Schizosaccharomyces pombe: one gene and its partners. The gene in region 2 interacts genetically with the main gene of each other region. Each region holds a gene or a part of one and is shown on either strand. Other genes may lie near its edges. The genes, in order: ent3, aut12, rer1 and pep7.

What was found.
Region 1: mutations in aut12 (region 2) and ent3 together harm fitness more than expected from each alone (negative genetic interaction), as found in Schizosaccharomyces pombe (one large-scale study listed by BioGRID).
Region 3: mutations in aut12 (region 2) and rer1 together harm fitness more than expected from each alone (negative genetic interaction), as found in Schizosaccharomyces pombe (one large-scale study listed by BioGRID).
Region 4: mutations in aut12 (region 2) and pep7 together harm fitness more than expected from each alone (negative genetic interaction), as found in Schizosaccharomyces pombe (one large-scale study listed by BioGRID).

Annotation. Positions count from the first base shown.
Region 1 is NC_003421.2:272,170-279,426, forward strand, and holds ent3 (ENTH/VHS domain-containing protein Ent3), read right to left. Parts: upstream 2,580-7,257; 5' UTR 2,429-2,579; coding exon 998-2,428; 3' UTR 501-997; downstream 1-500. Other genes in the region: ugp1 (UTP-glucose-1-phosphate uridylyltransferase), read left to right, coding at 1-296; malate dehydrogenase Mae2, read right to left, coding at 3,345-5,042; SPOM_SPCC794.15 (uncharacterized protein), read left to right, coding at 6,737-6,814, 6,858-7,040.
Region 2 is NC_003424.3:641,345-647,347, forward strand, and holds aut12 (autophagy associated protein Aut12), read right to left. Parts: upstream 2,195-6,003; 5' UTR 2,169-2,194; coding exon 874-2,168; intron 788-873; coding exon 541-787; 3' UTR 501-540; downstream 1-500. Other genes in the region: grh1 (GRASP family protein), read right to left, coding at 1-57, 104-283; chaperonin-containing T-complex beta subunit Cct2, read left to right, coding at 3,367-3,369, 3,406-3,537, 3,585-5,033; erd101 (EXS domain-containing protein), read right to left, coding at 5,249-6,003.
Region 3 is NC_003424.3:5,023,465-5,031,512, forward strand, and holds rer1 (Rer1 family protein), read right to left. Parts: upstream 3,987-8,048; 5' UTR 3,944-3,986; coding exon 3,884-3,943; intron 3,831-3,883; coding exon 3,336-3,830; 3' UTR 2,679-3,335; downstream 1-2,678. Other genes in the region: glyoxylase III Sdj1, read right to left, coding at 1-288; superoxide dismutase Cu chaperone Ccs1, read left to right, coding at 1,472-1,480, 1,533-1,659, 1,815-2,572; alpha-1,2-galactosyltransferase Gmh3, read right to left, coding at 5,536-6,534.
Region 4 is NC_003424.3:3,597,390-3,606,417, reverse strand, and holds pep7 (FYVE tethering component Pep7), read right to left. Parts: upstream 4,702-9,028; 5' UTR 4,540-4,701; coding exon 2,929-4,539; 3' UTR 2,514-2,928; downstream 1-2,513. Other genes in the region: SWI/SNF and RSC complex subunit Ssr1, read right to left, coding at 1-620; translocation subcomplex subunit Sec62, read right to left, coding at 1,505-2,326; SNARE protein Use1, read left to right, coding at 5,563-6,231; rps2401 (40S ribosomal protein eS24), read right to left, coding at 6,842-7,177, 7,247-7,315; bro1 (vacuolar protein-sorting protein), read left to right, coding at 7,619-9,028. UniProt on the Schizosaccharomyces pombe protein: Required for vacuole segregation and vacuole protein sorting. Possibly part of a complex which tethers the vacuole membrane to microtubules, either directly or via kinesin or dynein-like motor proteins.

The DNA of each region.
Region 1 (7,257 bases), on a different chromosome or scaffold from region 2:
TTGATCATGGTTCCTTAAAAATTGAAGAATCAAGGCTCGGTTTTCCCCCTCCAGTCGTTCGCATGTCTAATGAATTTAAAGATATCGCAGAACTTTTTTGCCGTATTCCTTACATGCCTAGCATGAAAGACCTAGTTTCTCTATCCATTTCTGGAAATGTATATTTCGGAAGAAACGTGATATTAAAAGGAAACATCGTGATTGTTGCTTCGGAAAATACCATCCTTTGCATCCCTTCCAATGCAGTTTTAGAAAATTGTGTTGTGACAGGAAATTGTAAAATAATGGAGTGTTGAGCTTCACAAAAAAACCGAAATCTTTCTTTTCTCTTTTTTCTTCATAATTTCTACATAATGAATTTTCATATGCGCATCACGATGTTTATTTTAACTCATACCCATTTTGGGACATAACTTTATGACCATAATCGAACTCGTCGCTTACACTACTCTTTCAGTACCATTTTCTTCTGAGGACATCTAGCGATTCGAAATTACTTTACTCTCTTTAATAAACAATTATAGTTTCAATTTTATTTCTCATGTTAAGGATTTGTAAGATTATTTTACTGAACTAAGGCGAATGAGTAAAGGACTCGAGGCTCGACGCTGTTTAGATAAGAAATACCTCTAATATATCAAACTAAATAAATTAATCAATCTCCATCCTTATAAGGCCACCAATTGCATTCCCATTATAGGAAAATGCAAAATTGCAATGAAGGTCATTCTACCGACGTGAATAACATTTCCAAAATTCATTCTAGCTTCACCAACTGTAAACAAAATCGTAAAGCAGACGATGTATAGAGAAATATAAGGACAATAAACAAAGGTATTAAAAAATGAAGCAAAAGAAGGTATTAAGACCTTGTTGCTAACGATCAAGGGCTGGAGATAGTTTAAATGAGATAGGAAACGACTACTTAAATTCCATAGCAAACACATGCTAATAGGAAGTATTAAAAAAGACAAACTAGGAATATAAAAAACAATTATTACAATAGGAGATTGTCGTTGTCTAGGAAGTTTTGGGTTTTAGAAACCGGTTCGCTAGAAGACGAAACAACTCTTTCCCTAGTTGAGTTTTCTTGATGAACTTTGTTTACGGCAGAGGACCACAGACTACCAAAAGCATCACCATTAGATCCAGAAGATTTGGCAGCAGTAGGTTGTTGTGAGGTTAATCCGAGACCGGCTTGTGAAGAGGTATTAGACAATCCGGATGACATACCAAACGCAGATGTATAACCCGTATTAAAGGTAGTAGGTTGAGGTGTAAAGGCACTGGATGATGTGGGAAGTTGATTTAAACTATTAAAGCCACCGAACGAAATTGACGAAAAGGCAGCAGTATTTGAAGCGGGTTTGGCGGAGGGAGCGCTTTGAAAATCATCAAAAGCATCATCGTCATTTTTAGCAGCAGTTGAAGCAGTTTGAGAGCCCATAAAGAGAGAGGCATTGTTTAAGGTGGAAGAAGCTGGGGCAGCGGCAGAACTTTGGAAGTCACCGAAGCCATCATCTTCGAACGCCAAAGGAGCAGAAGTATTTGTTTGTGGTTGGGCAGGAGAAGGCTCATTGTCAAGACCCAATAAATCGATCATTGCAGATTCCTGTTTTGGCTGCTCGGGAGCTTTGTCAGATTGTTTGGTAGTAGTGCGACGTGAGCCACGCGTGGAGTTTGCGGTTGCAGCATCGCTGGAACCACCATCTCCATCTTCATTGTACTCCTCTACATCGTTATCGGATGCATCACGGGAATCACTCATAGAAGATGAATCATGGTATCCATTACCATAATCGGTAAAGCCGCCACCGTCTCCGTAAACGCGAGTTCTATAAGAACCACGGGAAGAGCCAAAGCTAGGAAACCTAGATTTAGAGCTAGTGGAAATCCTAGAATCTCCATCACTACCAACACCTATAAATTTACCACGATTTTGACGCGCTCTCTTGCGTTCCTTACGGATACGTTCGCTATCGTTTAGTAATTCCACCAGCTCTTTAGCTCGAGTTCGAACATTAAGCCCTTGGTCCTTTTGACGATGGTCGATGTAGTGAAAATTACGAAGCATTTTAATAGTTGCTTGATGTGCTCGAGCATCATCTACCACTCTTTCAGACCCGTTCTTGACCAAAAACTCCAGAAGCTGAAGTGCTTTGTAAATTTGACGCCATTCTTCTGCAGTTTTTTCGGTAAACCGACGGTAGATCATTGGTAAAATTTCGTTTAACTGAGAGTAGTTGTGAGTTCCTTGGGCAATTTCCATCATCAAAGAAGTACTAGCGCCCCAGGGTTCATTATTCGTTGCTTCACGAACTCTGGCTTCCATAGATGTATAATTCATTACAACATTTTGTGCTTTACGAACCGCCGCCTTGATATCGTAAAGGTTGATGTTCTTCATCGTCGATTGAATGGACTCCATCTTAGATAATGTTTTACTTTCTTGGATTTCTAGTTCCTAAAGGAATTTATATCCAATTGTTTAAATGAAACTTTTTTAAAGAAGTTTTCGCTTCTCAAAGAACGCGTAGGCAACGAGTATGGAAGTATTGTTGTCGGTGGATGGGGAAATCAGATTTCTCAGTCTAGCCGCGGCTCCTTTTTACTTTATCAAGAAACTGCATCATATATCTTTATTCTGCTTTACTGAGAGAATTTTTTTTTATTGATCTACGAAATTTAGTAATAACGATTTTAAGGGTGTTCACTAAATCCCTTGGGAATACAAAGTTCTATTTACAGGCCCTCCTTGTATGTATATATTCACACACATTTTGTAGGTGTCAAATGCGATTTACTATTTGTTTGTTTCATCCATATACAGATTTCTCTTTCCCTTTTTAATTTATTATTCAGATTAATCTGATTATAAAGTTAACTTGGTGTTTCTATATAACTACCCATTATAAATTCGTAAAATTATAACCTTTATTAAATCAAATGGTTCATTCAATACATAACGGTTTACGGTTTGAATACTCGTGCTCAATTTATTTCAGACTGAATCATATACCATTTATTTCGATTTACTTTTCAGAGTAAAGAAATTCTACCTCTGCTATACTCCAATCTTTTTAATGTATATAGTTGATGAATAACAATAGGAGAAAAAAGCAATAATAATTGATTATCTTTCTACGCATTAATCATTCTTAATGGAAGATGCCTAAATATGTACATAATGTTTCTAATATTCAAATATGAGCATTTGAATAAAACGGGAATTTTCTTTTTAGCAACTTATTGTAAATTCATCTTTCAAAAAATTATTTACATGAATATCTTTAAATACAAGCAGACCAAAAAGCAGGTTTCAAAAAAAAATAAAATAAAAGGCTTTATACAAAAGGCTTGTATTCGGGATTCCATTCACGTTCAATAATCCATTCCTTCAATTTAGCATCATCTTTGGGTAAATCCACAGTGCTCATTCCCTCAGAAACAGCTTGCTTCAAGACTGCAAAAACAATGTGACGAGAAATTTCGCGAGCATTGTTCAAATCTGGCAAGAGGGCTTCATCAGCAGCAAATAAAGATCTGGGAACAGTGGCCAAAGCATCGGAAGCTGCTTTCAGCATACCATCACTCAATAACTTGCAACGGGATAACACACATGCAACACCAAGAGCAGGGTAAAGGAGGGCATTGTTGCATTGGGAAATCACGTATTTTTTACCATTGCGATTGAGAGGAGGAAGTGGGGAACCAGTGGCTATCAAAGCCTTTCCATCTGACCATTTGTCAATTTGATCGGGCTTCGCTTCCATAAGAGTAGTGGGATTAGAGATTGGGAAAATGATGGGGCGCTCGACGTGCTTGCTCATTTCACGAATGGCTTTCTCTGTAAATTTACCCGGTTGACCGGAACATCCCAAAAGAATGGTGGGCTTGACGAGTGCAATAGCACTCTCTAAATTAATGTCTCCAGAAGGGACTTCCTTAAAGTCAGAGTCCTTCTTCAAAAATGGCTTTTGTCCATCAGTAGCAATCTTAGCATGTCTCTCCAAAAGCAAACCGCAACGATCAATCATGAAAAGATTACCTCTAGCCTTATCTAATGAAAGGCCATCTGTCACCATACCGGCAACAATTTGGTTGGCGATACCAACACCAGCAGTACCTGCACCAAAGATCATGATGCGCTGCTCGGTTAAGGGAGATTTCGTAACGTGAAGGGCGCCAATAATGGCGGCCAATGCTACGGCACCGGTTCCCTGGATATCATCGTTAAAGCAGGCAATGTCAGGACGATAGTGGTCTAAAATGCGCTTGGCGTTGGCAAGACCAAAATCCTCAAAATGAATAAAGGCCTCAGGAAAGACTTCACGAATGGCCTTTATAACATTGTCCAAAAAGCTGTCATACTGTTCACCACGAACACGATCCTTTCTCAAACCCATGTATTGATGATTTTTACGATGGGTTTCATTGTTGGTGCCAACATCGAGAACAATGGGCAAGAATCGATTAGGGTCTAAACCCGCGCATAAAGTCATTAAATGTCCCTTGGCAACTGAAATTAAGACACCACCAACACCTTGATCGCCGATACCCAAAATACCTTCAGAATCGGTAATGATAATGTATTCGACACTATCGGATTTTCCAAACTCGGAAAGCTGTTGCTTGATATAAGACAAATCGTTATGATCAATATCCAAATAACAACCCTCAGGATAACGATATATATCGGAAAACTGCTTGATGGCATCGCCTTCGGTAGGTGTATAGATGATAGGAATCATTTCGATCAAATGTTGGCTGATGAGTGCGTAAAACAGAGTTTGGTTGGTGACGCTTAATTGAGAAAGATACAAATTCTTCTGTAAGGGCTCATCACCGATTGCTTTGTACTGGTCATAACAGCGATCCACTTGTTGTTGCAAAGTTTCAACAATGGGGGGAAGACGTGATGAAATCTCAAATTTTTGACGCTCCTCAGGTGTAAAAGCAGTGTCCTTATTGTAGCGAGGAGAGTTTAACAAAGTTACTCCTTTTAAAGGACACTCGATTTGTTCTTTGGTTCCTGCAGGCATTTTCAAACTTCAAGTATGTGTAGATCAAAAATCCAAAATATCAGAATTACTGTCCTTTTCAAATGGGTATAGCCCTACTTTTAAATAACTATTTTTTCGTCAGTTGTTCCGGTAAGACGGTCCACGTGCTGATAGTATAGTGCAATAAATTGTGCGTGTCAACCACCAAACGTCACGATTAGCCCAGTCGACCTCGCAATTTTTACGTTCGGTTATAGCAGTAGTTGTCACTTTAAATGAATGATCCCCCTTCTCGCCACCGATTTTCCTATACATTAGGGACTCGAGTCCAATCAACTAATAACGTAAAAGGATTTTCTTACATTTTGAAACAGATAACTTCGGGTGTTGCCAGGGGACATGGACAGCCGAGAACAATCTTTACAACAATGCCAATGCAAAATCGATTGTCAAGTTTCGAAGAGATTACACATTAACAAGAGGATTTTATTTAACATACTAATACACCTTGCATGCTAACTCGGATGAACAGCCGATTCTTTCATCTTTTGTTGGGCTTGGTAAAATGAGAAGTCTAATAGTCCCCCCTTCAAGAAGGTTGATTAAGGATGTTGATATATATATAGTAATAAGAAATAGCTGCACTATGTCATTTTGTTTATGAAAAACAGGTTTTCGTTAATGCACTTGATTAGTAAAATGCATTTACCCAAATAGAAAACATAAGTTGTTTGCTAGCGATTAAATTACTAATCTAACAAGTTGAGAATCACTCTTTTCCTGGTGAGCTAGTGTATTTTTTTTTTGGTTAGGGCAAAATGCTTATTGAGGGTTGCTTGTTCAAGTAAATAAATACCTTCATAGAACAATATATAGCTTTAGCTTTGTGTTAACTTGGATAATTGTTTATTAATGCAGTTCTAAACAATAAGTTGATGCTTTTTGAATAAGAGGAATTTACTACGCGAAATTTAGTTTGCGACTGTTTCTATTCTCATCTGTTAATGAAAACACGCGCAAACACTCTAGTGGTGTTTTCGATGAAGTTTGGAACAAATCTTTCATATAAGTTAGTGAAATAGACAGGGTAAATAAAATGTCTCAAAATGTTTTAATGGCTTCATACTAATGAAACTAAGACTAGTTAAGATAAAGTTGGATTTTATTTTTATTTTTTTTATTTAAGACAACTAACATGAACGAGGGTTTTGCTTTAGTTACCCATCTGGATTAAATCAGTATCAACATTAATGATAATCAGGAACCAGATTTATTGAGTTTTAAAAGAAATCGCTGTATTTCTTCTTTTTGTTGTTTTTTTGGCTCTGAATTAAAAAACCACATAACGCTGCGTGATCTTTAAAATGCGATGACTTCTTCAATAGACCATCGTTTAATCCCGAATTTAAAAAATCAAGGTACGATACGAAGACATTAGTTTAAATGTTATTTGTTTTTACTGAACATTCTATGGATGAATTTCTTTTCCGTATATTGCTTCAGACTTTCTTTTCTTACATTATTTATGTATCCTGCCACCTCATTTCTTATCGTATATGCTCTCCATCACATTAACTTGGTTTAGCACAACTCTATCGTATCGTTATCGAAATTTACCGAGTGTAGAACATGCTGTTCTCAGACACTCTTATCGATGCGTTGCATTTCTTTACGAGAAACTTCAAAACTACCTTTGACGCGCTTGAAAGCAGCCACATAGATTGAGGCTTACAATGTCAACATCGCGTTTGCTGTTACCAACAACTAACCAACAGCAAAACTCATCACCAGTGATAAAAGAAGTGGACTTGGTAAGCTAGGCATTGCATTTGTACTTTGCTAATACCTTGGTAGAATCAGAATACTCCAATACCTGTTGTTTGGCAAAAAACGAAAAAGCCACCTTTTGTTTCATTTCCTCGACACGAACCTTCTGAAACAATTGTTATATCTTCAAAACCTAGGCTTTTCTCATTCGCCAAAAAAATCAAACCAGAAGCTGAACAGCGAAAACGTAAACGAACAACTGAGATTTGAAGATTTTTTTCAAGGTGATTGCAAAAAACGTTTGTAGGAATTGTTGGCGGCATTTTTAGTTTTTTTTTATTTTATCGCTCGAATTTTTTTAATTTAATGAGCCTTTATTTTTTTTCTTTTTAATTTCGTTAAACGACCTCTTGAACGACATTAGTGTTCTTTCAAACAATCTAGTTGAAGCTTGAAAGTATTTGTGATAGACAGATATACAATCCAA
Region 2 (6,003 bases):
AGTTACTTCGGGGGAAGAATCACGAAGCAAAGCCATAAACATTGAAGGGTCTCCATTCTGTGAAAAACACTTTAGTAATGATAAAACTATAATCAGTTCATACCAGTAAGATCCCATTCACTGCCGTTATAAAATCGTAATAAGACTCAATTCTGGCATTATAGGCTTTCGAATCGTTTTCAACCTTTAATACTCTGAAACCACATGATTCATCTGATTCTCGATGAATACCAGCTAAAGCTTCTGATTTTTCTTTAATAAAGTTCTTTAAACCACCAAACATTTCGATTGTTTAGTACTTAAATAGGGTTGGTGGTGATTTAGGTAATGGCGCGGTTGACTCGCTATGATATTAAGTTCATACAGTCGGAAATTTATGTGAGTAAAATGATGCTGATATTAATAAATTAAAACAAAAAAAGGAAAAAGAAAAATTAATAAAGCTGTTGGAAGCAATCACCGCTCTTTTAAATATTTTACTGTCAAAACATCATAAAAAATAAAAAGAAATGAATTTCATTAAACTTTACATGCTCATTATCAAAACGAAAGGTTTGTTTGTATAAATAATCGATTCTCCTCCCTTCGTATCCATCTCAAAATCTTATTAACATTTGCAATAAGCAGTTGACTGCTAGTGGTAGCGTTAGCAATACAATGAAAGTCGAACGATGCAGTTGACCACGTGAATAGAAGCAAAGATTCATGGACAGTCATATTAATTGAGAAAGAATTTTTTTTGTGAAATGCCTGGTCGTGTAAGCTAGCATAAATAGCATAAAGAGTTCTAAAAACATAGTTAGCAAAGCAAATGAGCCCAAAGATAGCGATCGTATTGAAATTGTAAAGAAAAATAGATCATTGTATACGTACCTAGTATTGAAATTGGGAGTTGAAAATGAATAGCCAGGAGTATAAAACTGTGAGTATTTCTTTGAATAAAACAAGTAATGTGAAATACAAGGAGATCCGGGATTCCTTGGCGTAGTTCTATCCATTTCTTCACAATAAATGAGCTTTTTCAACCATCCATGATCCTGAATTTCCTGAGCAACTTTGCATTTCACTGATTGCATTTCAAAAAAGACACCACTTTCGCTGCTCCCCATTATCAAGACAGTGTCCTTACATAGGAAATAGCTATAAATGTAAATATAAGCATCTGGATTTAGAGTAGGAAAACAAACAGGCACCCAATGCTCCATTGAATCATTAAAAGACTGTGTGCGGAAGAGTGATAGGAAAAGTAAATAGAGATCATTAGCATGTAATAAAAGCTTCTTCGCCTTAACCATACAAACAAGCCGACCTCGTATAGCTATAAAAGTAAACAGCAGAGATTTGGGTGTTTCTCTCAACAGCAGTTGCGACAGCTGATCACGAAAAGAGGAACGTAAAGGAAGAGGAGATATGGCATTCAATGTGGGGACTAATTCATAATCATTAAGTTGATCACATAGTTCTTTTAGGAACTGCTCGTTGCTTCCAATAAGTCTTCTCAAATCAAAATTTGGGCGGGAGTTTAAGGTCAGCTGCATAGCTTTCGCAGTAACCCCAGTAAGTATTTGGCAATATAAGAGGTTTAACTCACTGAGTAAATATGCTGCGCTTAAAGTTGTCGATGGCGATACGCCAACAAGATAAAGAGGATTTTTGGAGAGAACAACGATAACATTGGAAAAGGTAGAAAAGCTTGTTAGCTCTTCTTTCGACACTTCGAAAGAGCTAATAATTGCTTGTAACGCGCCAACGGTTGATGGCTCAATTGAATCATCAACAATGTTACTAAACACGGGCTTCCCTGATGAAGAGAATATCAAATATGTGCGCTTTTGTTTTGCCAAATCAAAAGATATCAACGAAAGTAGTTTTATAATTTCATCAACAGCCGTATTGTTACTACTGCTCGATACTGAAGTGCTTACATTAAGCGGAGAGGAATTATCATGCAATATATCAGAAAGTAATTGTTCAACGTTTTCCACGTGGCTTCGCAATTCTGGTGTAGACCTGCTTACTTCTTGATCATCCTCTGACACCGAAGGCGCTGCCATTAGAACATTACCAGGGTTTAACAGCAGTGATCCACATTCCGACTCATGAGATCTATGAACGTTATCATTTTCCACTTCCTCCTTGATTGATGAATGCTCAGATGTTGGTTCCATCAACTGGCTGTTTTCATTAGTGGGATGGATTGAATAAGGAGGACTGTAGCTGTTGTAATAATGCTAACCTCGCTTCATTCACTCATTTACGGTTAAAATTAAGGGAAAAGAAGGCGTTTTAAATATTTTGCTTTTTATTGAATAAAAAATAATTATTGATTCTTTAAATAAATGTTGAAACTCAACTTTGCGGTGCAATCATAAAGATATTGTGCCGAAGATGATTTCGTACCTAGTTGTATAGGTAATTCAAAAGGGAAGATTGGAATGGCTGAGTCTTCGGCAAAGAATTTCATATTACAACTAAATGGCATTCAAGATACGTTTACATGGAAGTCAATTGTATACAGAGAACAGTACTGAATTTAAAATAAAACTAATAATTACACGTTCTATGAAATGTACGCGCTCTAAACTAAGAATACTCTTTGGTTAAGAAATTAATGTTAAAAAGCGCTTAGAATATAGCGCTAGATGTATTACTACAAACTGTTTATATTGAGTTATTTAGGAGTGATCACTGATCTATCGTTTCAACTAAAATGCTGCTTATCCTTGACTTCTCAAGGTCTAAGGATGGTATTCACATTTAAAGATCTAGAAACTTGTTGGCTAACTTTTCGAGATGGTTCCATCTAATATTGAATAGAATTGAGATTTGCGCATTGGTTCTTTCAATATCTATATTGCTCCAAAACAAAAACATTAGTCTAGTACTTGTAAGAAAACACAAGTCATACAGGGAATCGAAAATAAAAAATCAGTTGAAATCTTTAATCGACGCTTCATATTTCATTTTGAGCAATAATAAAACACTCGATTAAGCCAACCATCATCTAGTTTGTTGAACATGCTCAGTAGTCGGTATTAACTTCATAGAGACTTGAATAGATATAGGAAATCTTTTAATTTTTTGATATTTTATATTTGAGAGTAATAGAATAGTGTTTTATATAGCAATGCTTAAAAGCTGTCTCATTATTTTCTTTTGCATGAATATGAACGTAAGAGAATGAAATATATATATTATAAAAATATTTGATTATAATATTATTTACGATCCAAAACTAGAAATATACAGTCGCTGGTACATGCCTGGTAAGCTACGGCTTACGTTGTTGCGACGAGCTTCTTGTTCGCTGTAAGCTACTTTCCACTCAACCACCGCAACTCTGGGTTTATCGTACACTATCTGGAAATGGTAATATCATGTGTAAAAACCGTACTAACGATATAGTCTTTAAATCCTCATCAGATTTTTAACGAAAGTGGCATCCAAGAGCGGGGTGAAAATGCCCGTCTTTCATCGTTTGTGGGTGCAATTGCTGTGGGCGATTTGGTAAAAAGCACTTTAGGTCCTAAGGGAATGGTAAGGTCAAATCTACATAGAAAAAATTTTTAATTAACGATTTATAGGACAAAATTTTACAATCAAACTCTTCGGGTGATATTGTTGTGACAAATGACGGTGCTACCATTCTTAAGTCTATAGCTTTGGATAATGCAGCTGCTAAAGTTTTAGTGAATATCTCAAAAGTCCAAGATGATGAAGTTGGCGACGGTACTACCAGTGTGTGTGTCTTCGCTGCTGAACTTCTTCGTCAAGCAGAAATTATGGTCAATGCAAAAATACATCCTCAAGTGATTATCGATGGTTATCGTATTGCTACTAAAACTGCTATCGATGCTCTTCGTGCTTCCTCTATTGATAATTCTAGTGATCCTGCTAAATTTCGTAGTGACCTCGAGAATATTGCCAGAACTACTCTGTCTTCCAAAATCTTATCTCAGAATAAAAACCATTTTGCTCAGCTGGCTGTTGATGCAGTGCTTCGCTTGAAAGGTAGCACGAACTTGGATAACATTCAAATTATTAAGATCCTTGGTGGTAAACTTGATGACTCCTTCCTTGATGAGGGATTTATTCTCAATAAAACTATTGGTGTTAACTGTCCCAAAGTTATGGAAAATGCTAACATTTTAATTGCTAATACGGCTATGGATACGGATAAAGTGAAAGTTTTTGGTGCTAGGGTTCGTGTAGACACAACTGGCAAGCTTGCCGAACTTGAACGCGCTGAGCGCGAGAAAATGAAGGCTAAAGTTGAAAAAATCAAAAGTCATAATATTAATTGCTTCATTAACCGTCAACTCATTTACAATTGGCCAGAGCAGCTGTTCGCTGACGCTGGTATTATGTCCATTGAACATGCAGACTTCGATGGAATTGAGCGGCTGTCTTTGGTCACTGGTGGTGAAATTGCTTCAACTTTTGACCATCCTGAACTTGTCAAATTAGGTCACTGTAAGAAAATTGAGGAGATCATTATCGGTGAAGATAAAATGATCAAGTTTTCTGGCGTTGAAGCCGGAGAAGCCTGCACCATTGTTTTACGTGGTGCCACTCATCAGTTACTGGATGAATCTGAACGAGCCATTCATGATGCATTAGCTGTTCTTTCCCAAACAGTCGCTGAATCTCGAGTCACTTTAGGAGGAGGTTGTGCTGAAATGCTAATGGCCAAGGCAGTGGAAGAAGCTGCTACCCATGAGCCTGGTAAGAAGGCAGTTGCTGTTTCTGCTTTTGCAAAAGCATTATCACAATTACCAACTATATTGGCTGATAATGCTGGCTTTGACTCTAGTGAGCTAGTAGCTCAGTTAAAGGCAGCTCATTATGATGGCAACGATACAATGGGTCTTGATATGGATGAAGGAGAGATTGCTGATATGAGAGCCAAGGGTATACTCGAGGCATTGAAATTAAAACAAGCTGTAGTTTCAAGTGGATCTGAAGGTGCTCAACTTTTGTTACGCGTTGATACTATATTAAAGGCTGCACCAAGACCCCGTGAACGAATGTAATGGGCATAGTGGTTAACAACTATTTTTTTCAAATAAAAGGACATTCTTACTAGTACTTAAAAAGATTAGAAATAAAAGGAGGCGATTACATTGTTAGTGTGACCAAAATTTAATTAAGGAATGTAAATGTATCGAGAAATTTGGCTTGTTCCTTCTTGCAAACTTGAGTTGACTTGTAATAAATGATTAAAAAGAAAAAGTTTACCTCGTAGTGACTATGAGGAGATAGCATCTAAATGGAAAAATAGCCAAAGAAATCTTCGCAAGATCTCAAGCATTTCGAAAGAAAATATCCCCATTTCATACTCATGGAATTGATGCAACCGGGGATGAAGTTTCATACTCCAAGTAACTCGTAAAATAAAATTAATAAAGCACCCAATAGCGTAAATAAACATAGGGAACCTTTTATGATTAATGCTTTTGTGAAAAGGAAATCGGATTCTCCAGTCAATGAAGACGTCCCATAAGAATGTATAAGCAGAGCTCAGGAGAGCCGAAAGAATCCATAACCAAAATAAATAACCGTGTCCAGATGTCAACGTAAATTTAGTTTGCTTTGCATGAATGATAGCAGAAAGATATATTACCGGAAGAGCTGTTGCATGTTTTAAAGCGCTTAGCAGGTTAATTTTGAATGTATGTTTTCTACGAGATAACCCGTAATGTAAGCATTGAAGTATTGCAACAATGAAAGGATAGGCCATTGCTAGAGGAACAAAAAAAGTGCCATCGCATTTTAGATCAGGTCTAAGTGTAAATTTACTAATATGACCCTGTAAGACACAACCAAAAATGTAAAAATCACCAAGTGCTTTAGCATATGATGTGAATATTTCAGAAACAATGAAATCTTTATAAGGGGAACGAAAATCTGCTTGAAAAAACAAAAATACGCGAATTATGCTTTTCCTCAACCCACGTTGAGAAGACCGGTAGCGCCATGGAAAGGGAAAAACTATTAAAATAA
Region 3 (8,048 bases), 4.4 Mb from region 2:
AACCACTTGTTGAACAAAAGGAGTTGTAGAAAGTGTTTTTGCCCCGAGTCCACCACCAGGAATGATAGCAATATCGTATTGCTTTGCAAAGTCATCTGCACTGGGGATTTCCTTGTATGAACGATTTGCATACATTTCCACGTCACGAGACATCTTCACAAGTCGGTCCTTATTCTCTCCAACGTAGACGCTGTCAATGGGAATTTCTGCTCTCTTAAAAATTCCCCAAGGTGCCGAAAACTCAATTTCATCAGTGCCGTCCGCAACAAATAGGCAAACCTTTACCATTTTCAAATTTTTTTAAGACACTAGCAGGGTTCAAAAATTTAGTACAAAACCAAGTAAAACTCGTTGTCAAAGAAATTTCTCGCTTCACAAGTGTTTGGTAGTTGGAAAGTAATAGGTTGACGTATGATTCCATATATATAGGCATGGAAAGGCATAATTCTGGAAAACGGGCGATATACAAAGCGGTTGGGACTCCGAATGAACCCATTTCCTTTCATTCAGTTCCATAGTTTAAAAACCCCATATTCTCTAATGGCCATGAAACGTTCGCTAGTTGGCAGATTTTCGAGTATAAACAAAAAAGATTGGTTGAAGAATTTCGGCAACAGTTTACTTTAATTAATTCATTTTAAATAACTATAAATTTTATTCTAGTATGGACGAATATCAATTGCATGGATTCTATATAAGATGTTTCACAGTACTGGTAGTAATGTAATATACTAAGTCTTTGAAAGGCAAATAGATCAAACCGGAGCAAATATATAATCTCGATTGAAGTGAAAAAATTAATACTAAAATAATAATAGATGAATGAAAAAAAAAATTGCCAACAGAATTCGATTCTTTGTTTGAAAAGAAATCGAGAATACTCAATTCATGTATATATACGAATCACTAAAATTGTGAGAGTACTGTAATCACTAAACAGAACGTTCAAATTCTCCATAATATAAGAAAAATAATACTTAGAATTTAGATATTCCTACATCTCTCTATCGCCCATAGCATTTATTTTATTTTTTTAAATCAAACGAAGGAGTTGTACACTAACAATTACAGCTAAATGGTCTTTAAAAAATTAATGAAAAATAAATAATAATACAATCTCTATGTTCATTTATAAACCAACAGAAAGAAAAGCCATTTAACTCGCTTGGAATAAAAAACAAATCTTCCAAAAAAATTTAAAAAAATAAATAATAATAAATAGAAAAATCCAACATTCATTGTCATTTCTAATAAAATCAATGATATTCTTTAAAAATTGACGTTCATATTTTGCATTTTTCAATTCAATATACCATTAACTTTCCTTCTGACTAATCTTCATACTGAGTTTGCCTTCCATTCTAAAGTAAATCTCACCACCTTACGCAGTTCCGTAGAAGTTGCCATTTGCCAACATCAATAATATCATATTAAAGGCTTATTTTGCTTTCGGCTTCTTTTTGTTTTCAACATGTTTGAAGTATGGCATTTGTTTGAAAATTTGGTTCAAAGAGTGCTAATAAAATTTTTAGGTTGAATATCTCATTAAGGATTGTGACGACGTAAATAAGAATACCCTCGAGCAGGAATTCCAAGATTTAAACATTGAAGATTGGAAATGGGATGCTGCAACTGGTCAATTAATTGTGAAGGGTTCTGGTAAGTGATAAAACCAATAAGAAATGAGGAAGAAAAGAGAGATTTGTGAGTTCATCCTGCTTTACATTAGTTCATAAAATTGAAAGTAAATTGTTTGACTTCCTCTTTTACTTCCTATTTTTCTCATTTTACTCTTAGCTAACGTAGATTTTCAGTCTCTCCTTCAAAAGTCCTTCGGCGCTTGGAAAATGCCACTTCGAAGCCCATTCTCATTCGTGGTGCTAGTAACAAAGAATCGGGCGTTTCCATTCTTTATGAAGCCAATGAAGATATAACCCAGATTCCCAAAGTTTACGGACTTTGCCGTTTTATTCCCACCGAGGAGAAAATTTTCCTCGATTTGATTGCTACTCAACTCCTACCAAATAGAGAGTATACAGGATTAGTCACTATCTCAGGAGACATTTCCCGTGGACTCAAATCCGCTGGCGATAGCCTTGTTACCCTTTTTAATGCAAACTCCAATGAGCAAGGAAAAATTGTTCTCGACAAAGAGGTTTCTGGATCCTTACCAAATTGGATTGGTCACTGTTTCGTTCTTAAATGTGTCGACGATTCTGATTCCGCCACTATGGGAATTATTTCCCGTAGCGCTGGTTTGGGTCAAAATACCAAGCAAATTTGTGCTTGTACAGGCAAAAGTTTATGGACAGAGCATGCCGAGTTGAAATCCGTCAACGAGGGTTCTTCATGCTGTTCCAAGAAGGATTCTAGTCCATCAGAAAAACCTTCTTGCTGCTCTCAAGAAAAGAAAAGCTGTTGTTCATCGAAAAAACCTTCGTGCTGTTCTCAAGAAAAAAAAGGTTGCTGTTCAACAGAAAAAACCTCCTGCTGCTCTCAAGAAAAGAAAAGCTGTTGCACATCAGAAAAACCCTCGTGCTGTTCTAACGGAAAATCGACTGTCTGTGCTTAAGACGATACCATACAATTACTAACTTTATCATGTACGTAAATGTTTACTACAGTAGCCATGCTGTCAAATTTGACAAACACCTTTTAAATTTTGGTTTGCAGTTTATTAAAACTCCTTAGCTGTAAAGAATTTCATGTCATTTTGTTGCTTCAATGAATTTATTTTTGTACCTGCATGCTAATTATTATCCATATACAACTGTTCGTGAAGAAGCGAGTAAGCTTTTCGAAAGAGATACATGTCTTTCAAATTAGCCCACTTCCAGCGCTTCTGGATACAAGAATAAGCCGAGTATTCTGTAACTTGTTCGTTAATCAACTTCATCAAAGACCCAACTCCAATAAGAAAGATTTTTTTTTAATCATCACCGCATGACAATCCACATACATGTTAACAGAAATAATCGCCAATTTCTTTTAGCCTGATACAGATATCTAACATCTTGAATATGCATGAAAGATAGCTGTACACCCAGAGAACCGATGGATTACAAAGCATCGAAATTAGCATCATTATCGATGAAATTGCAGGTTACTGGGTTCAAAGAAAAAAGTAGTTTTATCGCGTAAAAAGAACATAGGGCTGGAAAAATTATTCCTTACATGTTTAAAAGTAAGAGTGGGCGATATAAAAACATAAAAAACAAATGTTTGTAAGAGAACGACTGAGGAGTATCCGATTAATATAATCAACTGAATGTGATCATATCTTTCTAAGAAAAAAACAATTTCGCGATCATGGTCATCATCAGCTCAAACACTACCTAGTGTGAGCCAAATTTTTTCTTACCGATATCAAATGGAACGTAACGATACTTGAGCATGTGCTGAATTTGTCGTCGAAAGCAGAAAAAAGAAAGTACAAGATAATAGACAACAAGAATAGGCCAAAACACAGGTACATCAAATATTCGGAAAAAGGACGCGACTAAGGCGAACAAGGTGGCACGCATGCTTGAATACCAAAACTTGAATTCTGGCAATCTACGAATAAAGGGTCGAAATTCATCGTCTTTGGAAGTAGGAAGAACTCCTTCTTCAATTTCTTCATCTTTCATTGCTTGCTCAACACTAGGATCGAATTTTGGAGTCAAGAACGCAAGGAACAGATTGAGCAGGTAAATGGCTAATGTATAGCAAACAATATACCAACCGCGAACCAGTAGAATCCTAATAAAAAATAATGCAATTAATCCACTAACAGTCAGCCATCTATACGTTGTATAAGGTATGGTTCGGTCCACCCAGTGTCGATACAACTAAAAACACGTTAGATTTTCTTCTTTTCTCAAGCTAATCAAGTTATTCTTACTCGAACTGCAAAGTTTTTCTTCTCTTTAACATTTTCTATATGACGCTGAATGAATTCCATGCTTAAATACTGTCAAACAGACGATAAAATGGTGGTTGGTAGTGAAGTGAAATATGTATTCAATTCAGACATATACGCGCTACTGCCAGACTCCATTTACCCCCTACACTAGAATACAGTATACATTATAATGTGTTATCGGTGAATGATATTATTAGTTTAAAGTAATATAACGATAAAGTAATAATTTGTCTCTACAGGACTCGAGAGCGGTAAGCGTGTAAAGAAAAGATTCAGTGATAATTTGGCAGTCAGAATTACTTTTTTTTTGAATAGATTAGTATAGTTACACCACGGTTACGTTTACCAATTTGAAGTTCCTAAATATGATCAACTCATTAACCGATTAGAAATTTAATGCATATACTTACCAATACGTTAAACTGTATACAGCTCACCTTCGACTTCATTAATTTTGCAGAAAAATGGCATGTCGATTTGGGTGTTTATGAAGAATTCATAGTAGTAAACGAGTCGTCAATTTGTTGGAAAAGTCAAGAGTAAAGATAATAATCTGAAGAATTTGTCTGGGTACTCTTTAACATTTACAACATGACACTTCTTCTTTCGATGCAAGCTTTTATAAAAAGGTTCATTAAGCAAATGTAGCGGAAATAACAACTAATGATCATTGAGTATAGCCGGTGCTGGACATCTCTAATAAAGCGATGTCAACTTCTATTTGAAATTAACGGCAAAGCTCTTTTCAAACCAGCCATGAATTTTGCAGTTATCATCAACCCTAACAGCATTATAATTTACACAAATGTAATATAATGCTTGTTTATTTTATTTCGAGGTTCATAAAGTCAGATAACGTATGCTTTTTCAATTCATGACAATCCTGCACAGCAAAATAATGTGACAAATCTACATTGAATAGCTTTAATAAAAGGAAAAAGAAATTAATGAATTCAGTCTATAAAAGTAAACCAGATCGACATTTATACGCAGATTAGATTGAAGACAAAGGCAAGGAAGAAATGTATAGAAAAAGACAAGATTGCAAGCATTGCCAACTTCCTAAACAAAAAAAAATACAAATATCAAACTTAGGATCAAGCGATATAACTTTACCTACCCAAATATCCACAGCTTTTTAGGAGTAATATCGATTATGTTTCACACAGGTAGCATAGATTCAATAATAATTGAAAAAAAGCCAAAGATTAAGTGCAATAAAACAAATATAATAAAAGATTGGTGGTTTCAGCCTTAAGCTTATGAATTAAACACAATTAATATTTGTCTGGGGCCTGCAAAACCACCTATAATATAAGTGTCACAATTAGTTTATATAGCAATGTATATTAGAAAAATTAAAGAAGGAATTAGATGATTATCCACCACCTCTGTAACAGAACACCGCATATAAAATAAACACATTCTTCCATTGAAAACAACCGTAACTAGCACGGTTAAGGAGGCAGACTATGCTTAGATAATATATACACATACATAGAGCATAATTGTATAGGTAATTATGTAAAAGGAGTGGCATCCAGTGGCTTGTGTATAATAAAAATAAAGACAAGATGAGGGGAAATAACCAAATGCATTAATAATGGTAATACTATTATTATTAATGCACATCAATGAACCCTCTCACGATATTCATCCCACAAAACCTGACAACGGTTCTCCACCCAACACCCAGCAAAATGTATAACCAAATGACCTTCTTTCCAGCCCATTTCCGGCTGGCCAACAGGGTAAGAATTAATAAGGGTTTGAGGTAAAATTCCTATTATAGCAGCAATTTCCGGGTGATATCTAACAAAATATCCCAAAAGGGCCTGTTCATGATCCGCAACCTTATTTTCTCTAAAGGATTTATCGCCCCATAAGTCCAAAAACAGAGCCATCATGGGCGACCTTCTAACAAAGAAACTTCCCGCGTTTAAGCCATTCAAATCTTGAGAAATCAATAGCCCTAAAGAACGAGCACTGTCAACAGTATAGGAACTTGGGGTGAGACGTTCGAGATCAGCACTAAATGGAGATATCATAGGTTCATTCTTCATTAACTTTTCCACTAAAACGTCAGGTGACAAAATATGTTCTTGAATAGAGAGTTCTGTGTTCAAAATTAACGCATCTTGGTCCAACCACCAAATCCATTTCGCATGAGGATGCTTATTCATTGTTTGTATAATAGCGGGCATTTTGGCCCACACTGGAGGAATGTTCATTTGGCTTACATTAACATATTCAAAGCCATAGTTGTGATGCTTTGCGTAGTTAATTCGGTTTTCTATGCATTGATTAAATGTTTCAGGTGCCATATTGCCACTTGAACGTCCATCACTCGCTAAGAGGATTACTATTTCATGGGATTTGGGCTCTTGAGGATCATCCTCGTTAATTGTCGCTTGATGATACGTCGTGCTAAGGCCTTGCATATCTTCATCCAGAGGTACTAAGTAGTCGTATTCTTGTACACTTGGTTTGGAAAATACATCTTGTAAACGTTCTAAAGCAGGTGAAGCAGAAAAAGAGTTTCCAAATTGGAAGTAAATGAGAAAAGAGCTAATCCCAATGATTAACAACACGAATATAACACGAGATAACTTCCACTGTAGGACTGCCATTTTAAAGATTAGCAGATGTTAAATGCAAATTAATAAAAAAATAAAAAATAAAATTTAGTCTTTTAGAGACAAGAGAAACTCTTTTTCAAGTTTCACAAATATAAACTGAGATTGGATAAAAGCAAAACAATAAGATACCAAGAATGGATCAGAAATTATGAATGAAATGGGAAACTTTCTACTCTTTCTCGGTAGAAAATTAGAAAGCCGTTTTAAAAATTAAAATGAGATTTGTGATATTCCAAAGAATACTACGTTTGAAACACGAATCTTCGCCCGTTGACTCAAGAAACGAGAGAAAACAGTAAAAAGAAATTGAAAATATAATGTAAATTATAATAAAAAAATATGAATGAATTAGATTCTTTAAAAAATGATTAACCAGATGGACCTGGAATTAAAGGCAGTGTGTAGTGGAAGGATTGAAATTACCGCATCATGGAGTCAATCATCATAAATTTACGGTTTCCTCTACTTATCGTATCCTATTTATAATAAAAGAAGAAAAAGAAGAAAAATCTGTATGGTAATGATTTATGTTCAAAATAATGAGTTGTTCCTTTAAAATCACGTTTCCAAACTTTTAATGACATGATTCACAGTACTTAAACATTTTAACCAGTTTTATACGTTGGGACAAATAACAGGAATGGCTTAATTCAGCAATACGTCTAAATCAATGTCATGATTGAATGGGAAAATAATCAAACGATTCAAATTGTTGAAACAGGTAAAGCAGATCAAGTACTGGAATGCGGACTGAAGTCCAATTCGAGAATGGTTACAACTATGAAATGAGAATTAATTTACTGAAAAGAATACAGTATCAATGGAATAGCTTTCCTGATAATGTGAAAGCTGTTTAAAGAGTATTCTATGTGTCTAGAGTGCAGACTCGTGGATTTTCACAGTAATGAATAAGAAATGTTAAACTAAAAATATCAATTGTTGTTATTATCTTGATTTTTCATATATCTGTTAAACTCCCGCTTTCCGATTTTCTTTTTGGGTCAACTCATAAATGTATATGTGTGAGTAACTGAAATGATCACGAAACAAGCGGAAAGCTGAAAGATAGGGATACTCATTTCAGATCTTTTTGATTCTTCATTTTTTGGAAGTCACCAAGCTCTTTTGGTCAATATTCCTTCGTTCAACTTCGTATTCTTATAAATGGACTAGCGATGAGGCAAAAATCTAGCAATGTTAATTGCTAGAAATGCAATTAAGTTAAAGCAAACTTAAGCTAAGAATTCAGGACTAAGGTCACTCAAAAAGGTTCTTCATAAGATCCTCTATACTTAGTCAAAAAAACAAACTATATGCAACAGGATTGTCACAGCTATTTTTTCAAAAATGAATGATAGATAAATGTCAAAAAAGCTCAATCATCCTATTTACAAAAGTTTTATACATGTCTTTCAGGAACGTATCCGAGCACTAATGCACCACTCCGACATTGAGTATCTTTCGGTTTGCGCTAATCTGATCTAATAATTTAAATGACTTCTAAT
Region 4 (9,028 bases), 3.0 Mb from region 2:
AAGACATCGTCGAGAGAGGGATCATAAATATTTGTTCGGACAATCGAAGGATCTTCAATGGTAACAGCTTTGGAACGAGGAATTGAAGAAGAGGGAGGTGGAAGAAGTGGTACCAATCCACGAGGAGTATCAGCAAGGATTTGGAAATGACTTGTGGAAGGGGGACCTATTTTCGAAGGCCGAGTATCGGGGTTAACGTTATAGTTGATTAATCCCCATTGCTCTAGAAATCTATGGACACGCAAGACAGCACATACATCACCAGCCAAATTCCTTCGGCAAGCCGTGAAAGTCAAATAAACTTTGGAGTTCAATCGAAAAGTACTAATCATAAAATCTCGGTATTCCTTATATACCTCTGGTGTTTTCGACGTATTTTTTCCATCAAAGAACTCAGGGTTTTGTTTTTTCTCAATTTCGTGAACTTTAGAGAAATCAAACCATTGCGCCCACTCAGGGACTTCTACTTGTGGTAACTGGCTCAACAAAAATTCTTTGGCCTCGTCTCTGACTTCTGGTTCAGTGTCCTCCTTTTTAGAAACATCCAATTCCATTGGCTGAGCAGAATCTGGTACCCCGTTTTCGTGTAAGTCATGTTTATTTTCAGTAACGTTGGACATTGTGGTGTTAGAGTCTAGTATAATATTTACAAAATCCTCAACGCCAAGGGCTTTAAAAGCTTCACGTCAATAAAATGCACTTAATCAACGAAAAATAATATGTATTACCCTATATGATTGAGGGATACCTTGAAAATTCAAGTTTTTTTAAAATGCCCTGCAATTAGTAGGTAGTGGGAGTTGACTTAGAATGACGATGTCTGGTTAACGAAATATACAGCAAACGCACTATACACTAAAGAATTGAGAAAATATTCAATATGGAAAGTAAAATTTATTGATATGAAGTTAAATATCATATGATATGATGACAATTTATACCATGAATATTAGTGAACTTGTAATTATAATCACTCCTATGTGATCAGCCAACTATAGTAAGAATGCACTCCTTGTGTCATGAGGAAATGCTATACTAGCTTTAAAAGGAGAAAAGCAAGCTAAGAATCTAGTAATTTCGCTCAAATGTGTTATAAATTGAGATTAAAAGAATAAGGGAATTATCAAACCACCTACCAGGAGTGGTACATAAATTAAAACGCTTCATATAAATGGGTTAAGCAAGAATTGTGTGTCAATAAGAGTAAATATTCATTGACTGACAAACTTGCCGTAATTAAAATGCGTAACAATAAGAAACACAAAAGAATTTAGTGTCCTCATTTAGTATATACTGATTATATATGTATACGTTTGGGCATAAAATGAGAACGCCAAGGTTTCTTGGAAAACACATTTAGAATCTCAAAGAACCTTTCTCCGAAAACATAGACGAAATAAATTGTATAAGGAGAATTGATAACGTAAAGATATGCACTATTTTTTTTTAAAGTAAGTAATAGTGGCTGAGTGACTGGATTCATCAACGGTACAACAATTAATTTTTATTCAGAGACTTCTTCGACGGTAGGATTTCTGTGCCTTAAATTCTTTAAAGAAGTGGTGGACGTAGAAGACTTTTCAGGAGTTGCAGAAGCAGCTGGTGAAGTGGCTTTTTTTGACAATTTCTTGGATTTCCTTGTCTTCTTTACCTCAGATTTGGAATTGTGCCAACTCCATAAAGGTTTAAAGCTATCACAGAAGCCAACGTCGGCAAGAAGATTGGGGAATAGCCAAATGCCAGGGCGCACGATGACAGCAGTAATGCAAAATAAGAAAAAACGTAAAATAACCAAAACAAAGAATAGACCGATTACTCCAAGGCCTCCCATACTTAAATACCAAGCACCCTTGCGCATAAACATTGGCCACAAGGGGAACAAAACGAGTGCCAATACGACAAGAGCGAACAGTACTGCCAAAGCCATAACGCGTTTTGGAAGAGGCTCGTAGAGCCAAACATAATGCATATCGTCTTGAAAATCTTGATTACGATTTATCTGTAATTCTACAAGCTTCTGCTTTCTTTGTTTAGGGGGGAGTTTATCAACGCGAACCAGCATCGAATTCATAATGAGCAATTTGAGAACTTCGATTGCTTCCTCACGGCTTGAAATTTCTGGAAACCCTTTGTATTTCTTAGGCGTATACGCTTCGGATGTTAAAAAGCGAAGAACACGCTTCACACGAAAGTAGTATACACGTTTTCCATTGAGGATCGCTGGCTTTGTTTTCAGCTCAGGGCGAGACTTGAGGAAGTTTGTAAAGCGCATCGAAAACTTGCACTTGTCTTCATCCTTCAAAACTGGTACATTAGAAGAATCCATAGGCAAAATCCTTGTTTGGAAAAATCTAAAATAATGTGGTTCTGGAGTAGATGAAGTCTGTACACGTCTTTAAGGTAACGATATTTAGGTCACGAGGTAAAGCCAAAATCAAAATTCAGTATTATAGATTTGGGAAAATCTATATTATAAATTTTACATTTAGTTTAATCATTGTTATTATCATGCTGTCGAATATTGATTCATTCTTTAAGTAAATTTGTAAAGTTGGATAGTTCAAAAAGTTAATTCAGTCTTAAATTTTTGTGCCTGTGCCCCATATTCATAACTTAATTATACTATAACACTTGAAAAAAATATTTGATTATTAGGGAGAGTAAAGCACTGATTAAGGAATACTAATCTTCAGAAGTTAACTCTAAAAAAGATGCTCTTCCTATTCAACTTAATTGATAACATTCATTGCTGTTCGACGAGGAAAGCAAAGTCTTCAAATTCATTTCATCAATAAATATTTATCTATACAATTATTCACTCATCCATCATATGACTAACCTTCGCAACACATTAACTAGGAAATTTTGATTACATAAAAGTGAAACAGCATCATTAAACAAGTCAAATTTCCTTTATTGAAAAAATCCTCAAATATCAAAAAGATCCAAGTCATGAATCTTTTCAGTGATTGAATGAATTTCCTCATGCAAAGGTGCAAGACTGGAGAGTAAAGTCTCTACCTCAGAAAACTTTCGTTTCGCTTTAGCATCTTCAATCATATTTTCAACGAGGAAAACTTGCTCCTCTAAAACTATTCTTGTTTGCATCAACTCTTCTTGCTTCTTTTCAACTTGCTCTTTCTTCTTTTCTAGCTCACGTTCAGACTCAGAAGTCCAAGCTTGGCCAACCTGCAAATGGTAAGGAATGGCCTGCAAACGCAATATGGTTTCTTGTAAATATCTTTTTGCTTCATTAACAACATTCTGCTTAAATTGTTCTTCAGCATCATTGGATGAGGGATGATTGGCGATTTTTTTCATAGTTCCATCATATTTCACACATAGCTCAAGAAATTTTTTTCGTCTATCTTTTACTATTTTCAGGGTCGCTTCAGTGATTATTTCACCACTTAGTAATTCAGACAAAGAATCCTCGTAAAGTCGATAGTAATTTACCATAGCCTGTCTAAAAACTTGCAAGTGTTCAATATGTCGGATGTAGCCAAGTGATTTCGATCTTTCCGTTTGATAAAGAACGTTACGGAAATAATTTTGATTGCAACTCATACAGATGAGGAGAGGTTGCGGGTGTTGAGGAAGACTAATCTCTAATACACAGAATCTGCAGATCACGCGTCCGCAAAGCCGACAATGCCGGCGTCTTCTAGTTAGAGTAAAAGAATTGTTGCATTCAGGACAAATTTGTACAACGGAATCATCTTGCCAATGAACGATGCTTTGCTCCAGCCTTTTAGCCTTGTTCAAAAGAAGCGCATCAAGCATCGAGACATTTTCCGATGTCCATAGCTCTTCAAGTTTTTTCATACGTTTGCTTAATCTTAAAAACTCTATTCTTCTTTTATCAGCTAAAGGTTTTCGAAAAGTTTCGAATGTTTGAAAACGTGAGCGAATTAAACCATTTGAATCATTATACCCAGGACGTCCTTCATAACATTCTCGACAAACACGACACCAAAATCCATTTTCAGAGTCGTAGGTAGCATGAATACTGAGTTTGATCTGGTACATTGAGTGAAAGTTGCAGAAGATATAACCGCATTTACGACAATGAATATGACCATTGATGAAATTTAAAAGCTTATCACACATCGGGTCATGGCAGACCATGTCAGGAACCTCTGGTTGCCAGTGATTTTTGACAACCAAGGAATCTGTGAGCTTAGTTGCTTCAAGGCCGACAGCACCTGATGAATCCCCATTCTGTTCATATGGTTCCATTCTCCAAAGACGTTGAGCGGCTTTCATTTGCAGAGCTGAAGCACCATTTAAAGTCCTTGTTAGCCATGAATTAATGGAATCTTGTCGCTTGTGGATTTTTTCATTATCATTGAAATGAGTAACATCGAGATGATCATTTAATGCTGACAAATTTGGTAATTCCAGCCCACAAATTGGGCATTCAGTGGCTTTAACGATATTTGAAGAATCACTTTGAGCACTAGTAGAAAGATTAGTCCCGGAATGATTGCTCAAATTGGAAGAAATTCGGACTCCAATACGTCTTTTACCATTTTGCATAGTAATCCCTCTGAACTTGATTTTTAGACGAGAATTTCAGGCAATTGAAGCCTTTTCAGTGGCTATATAATTAAAAGTAGCTAAAGTTTATAAATTATTATTACACAGAGCTTGCTCTTGCAAAGGTGCTGAATTCGCCTGACGGTAAGAATTATCACTGTTAGAAGAGTAGACAACTGGTTAACCTGGTGGAATGCTAAACACAGAATAAACAAACATTAGAAATTTAATAAATTAAGTTGTTTAAAATAAAATTATGAGAGATTCTAAAGAAATCACAAATCCTCTGATCAAATAATTAAAGAGTTAGACTGCAATTTTGTTTAATTTTCAATTCAGGAAAACATCCGGTCTGAATAAATTGAAATAACGACAAATGGAGTTACAAGGTATGTAGTCTTTAGCAGTGCTTATTTAAATAAGAAGAAAGATCGCTTTATCAAAAATCTAACACGAAGGCAGCCTGGTCGTCTTTGCGTACTATAAGTGTTATTTCAAAATTTGCCAATGCAATGGCAAGGAATGCAACTCAAGATCCTTGCGTTTTTAAAGATTCTGTCAAGTTTATTTACAACATATATCCTCCATGACTTGAAATATATAGTAAGGTAAATACGCTAATGTTTATTGACACCTTTAAGTTAAGGCATTACGGTTCATGCAATTCTTTTAACATAAGGATTATTAAGCTTCTCATACTTCATTAGATTGAGATTAAAATAGCATTTTATAGTCAAGGCACTTGGTACAAAAATACGTATTCAAAGAGAAATACGGTTTTAATTAAATGTTAGTACATCCTTATAAATGAATAATATATAAAATACTATAATCGTCTACTCTGAAACCCAAAATACTCATACAAGGTGAAAATTAGTATGTGTATAAGATGACATGCACCTGATAACCTACTCAACTCAAACTACTTATAAAATATCAGGAACCCCAGTTTAAAGCGCTTTACATAACTTTCTTTATAGGAGAGAGATATTCTTATGAAATGCTCACTCCATAGGCTTTAAAATGAGTAAAGATTTGATCAGTAGGTTGGAGCGACAATTCAAGTTGAAACGTGATGAGTTTCAAGACCCATTGGAACTTTTAAAATTTGAAAAGAATCTTGATTATGCAAGGAAATTATTATGGGAAGAAGGAAAATGCCAACTTGACAAAGTTGCTGAACCTCAAGGGCTTTCGAAGAGAATCATGGATTTACAGGGTAGGATTTATGATTTAAATGTTACCATGGAAAAAAAGCTGAAAATTGAAGAGAAAAAGATAAAAAGTAAACAAGAGAAGGAGATCGCGCATGCTCTTCAGAGTATTCAAGAAAGGGAGCTTAGAGAGCGACAACAGATGTCGAATGTCGAAGCTTCCAATGCCCAATTGCTCACAAACCAGCGTTCAATGCAAACTGAGATATCTGAGTCACTTTTGCATTTGGCATCTGTTCTAAAAGAAAACGCTTTATCTTTCACAAATGCTCTAGTAACTGATAATCAAGTGGTAGAGCGTACAGGAAGCTTACTCGACAAGAATGCCCACAGTCTGAGACATGCCAACCACGGTGTTCAAAGCTACTCTAAGTCAAAAAGGCTGTCTTTTTGGCTACAGTTAGGAATGATCATTGCTGTAGTTGTTTCTTTTATCGTGATGATCTTTATCCTACAGTTTACCAAAAATCAAAATTAATTATTTTATTTTCGTAAAGAATTCTCGGACTGCTTCCTTTTGTTGATAAATTTTTTTCCCCTTAAGTTATCGCAGTGGTAACAGTACACCCGTTTCTTTTTAATATACATTTTGATACACAACCATTATTGTTGTTTCAAGTTGTTTTCTTACTCGAACGTATTCATGTTTTTTTTGTATTTGAGATCAATGCGTAGATGATATAAGTAAATTGAATAACCAAAGCATACGCAATTTACCATTGTTTTATTTCATTTAACCTTTTTCCAACAGCTGAGTCAATATTAGCCCATTCCTTTATCAATTGACACTGCCCTCAACTCTTATGTTTTTAGTAAATAAGAAACAACATCATTACATTACAAAACTATTAAACTATCATAAAATACAACATATACCGCATGTTCAAAAATTATTATATTAGAGATCAAACTCTAGTTATTGAAGATTATTTACTTCATTCACTACTGTTCACACGAAAGCTGAACAATATTATTTTAGGCAACACGTAATTAAATCCGTTCGAATACAACAATGCATTTCCATCAAGTGAATACATCTCATTACTTTATGAAAATTATTTTTCTGAACCAAGAAAAAATAAGATTGCCTAGTCTTGTTGCTTAGACTTGCGCTTGGCAAGACGCTTGCCAGTACCAAAGACCTTCTTGCCTCTGTTCTTACGTTGCTTGCGTTGTTGACGAGCAACCTTTTGGATAGGCTCGGCATGTCCAACACGGACAAGACGATAATGGGGCTCAAACTTCTTCATGGCCTCGACGTCGTCGTAAATCAATGCAAAACCAGTGGTTCTTCCACCACCATAATGGGTACGAAGACCAAATGCCTGGACAGCACTTGCATCAGTCTTGTACATTTGACCCAATTTTTCACGAAGATCGTTTTTGGAAATGTTGGCCTTGCCAGGATGCAAAATGTCGACCACCTAAAACGCCCTCATGTTAGTATATGCCACGTCTGATCGTAAAGAACTTATAAGCAAAAAAATACATACCATTTGCTTCCTCTGAAGCAAGCGGTTGGTCATAAACTTGCGAGTTCTGATTGTAACCGCCTCACTCATATTGGTCTTAATACAACTATCTAGCGCCCACGAATTCCAAAATTTTACCCCAAAGAAGGCAGTCACAAGATGTGGTACAAAGAAAGAATAGTGAATACTTGAGTAACTACACAAACAACGGTATATTGCTTTAAGGAGATCAAAGGGACTTGTAAATATAATAGAAAATTATGTAGGTATTCCTTCACTTGTCTTAACGAGGATTAGTGCATCGTTGGCTTGACTGAATTTAGTCAATTAAGTCAGCTTGTCGAGTGCATAGAACTATAGGGGCATTGGCTCTTTTATAAGGAATTTTAAAGGATGGAGAAACTTGCTACTCCTTTTTTTTACTTAAATAAAAAGGAAACAAAGCATTCAGATTGGGTTGAGCCATTTACTACGTTCGTATCTCGAATATATGGAAATAGTGTTGATGTCGAAGATCAAATTAAGGCGTTCAACACTTTGAGAGAAAACGCAGCAGACGTCGATGACACAGTTGCTGGTAAGGATATTTTGTATTCTTATTACGGACAACTTGACTATTTGTCTTTCCGATTTCCCACTGGTGGTAATGGAATCAACATTTCTTTTGAGTGGAGCGATATCTTAGATCCCGATGCAGATTTCGTCAAGCAATCTTCTCTTGCCTTTGAAAAAGCATCGGTTTTATTCAATTTGGTTTCATTGCTTTCCCGAATGGCTGCTAATCATGCATCTGCTTACACTGTGGATGATTATAAGGCGGCCGCCAATTGTTTACAATGCGCTAGCGGTATTGCCAAACTCTTACGCGAATCTTTCATTCATGCACCTGGAAGAGATTTAGATTCCAATTTTTTACTAGGTATTTACAATCTTTTCTTGGGTCAAGCACAGGAGTGTGTCTTGGGACATATGTCTTTTTCAGCTAGTGACTCTAACATGAACTATTCGTTGGCTGCAAAGATTGCTAGTTCGGCAGCTACTTTATATGATAGCTGTGTACACGCATTTGAATCTATGGAACCGGCGTGCAATCCCAATTTCATACGGCTTGCTTCTGCCAAAAAGGCCGCCCTTGAGGGATTTTCCTCTTATTTTATGGCACGCGCTCAGTTGGAAAAATCGAAACAAGGGCTTGCTATTGGATATTTACAACAAGCTAAGTCAATTCTTTCGTCTGCTCAAAAGTTATTCAATGGTATAAAGTTGAGTACTGATTTTATTCATAAGCCTAGTCTTTCTGACTATCCTCAGACCATTTCTACCTTCATCAAATCCTCCTTGTCTCATTTGTTAAAAACTGCTGAGAAAGATAATGACTTTGTGTTTCATGATCTTGTAGTCAAGGAAGTTGAGCTCCCAAAAATATCTCCTTTGCAAGCTCTACCACCACTTCCTTTAGAGAAATTGTATGGAAGTCAAGATGGATTTGAAACTGCAAAAAAAATTGTTGGAGATGATTTGTTCAAGGCCTTTGTGCCTAGCGCCGTTACGACCGCCAGTTCGCTGTATTCAGAGGAGACTGCCAAAGTGTTTCGCGCTGAACAAGCTGAAGTAGAACGACAAAACACCCAAATGGCAACGGTTTTCGCCTCCTTAGACCTTAGCCGGCTTCAAGAAATCACACATTCGGATTCCAAAACGAACTTTATTCCGAAAGAACTTATAGAAGCTCGTTCCCAACTTATTTCTTTTAATCCTACTTTTAAAATTCACGAGTTGTTTGCAAAATCCACAAAGTTGAAG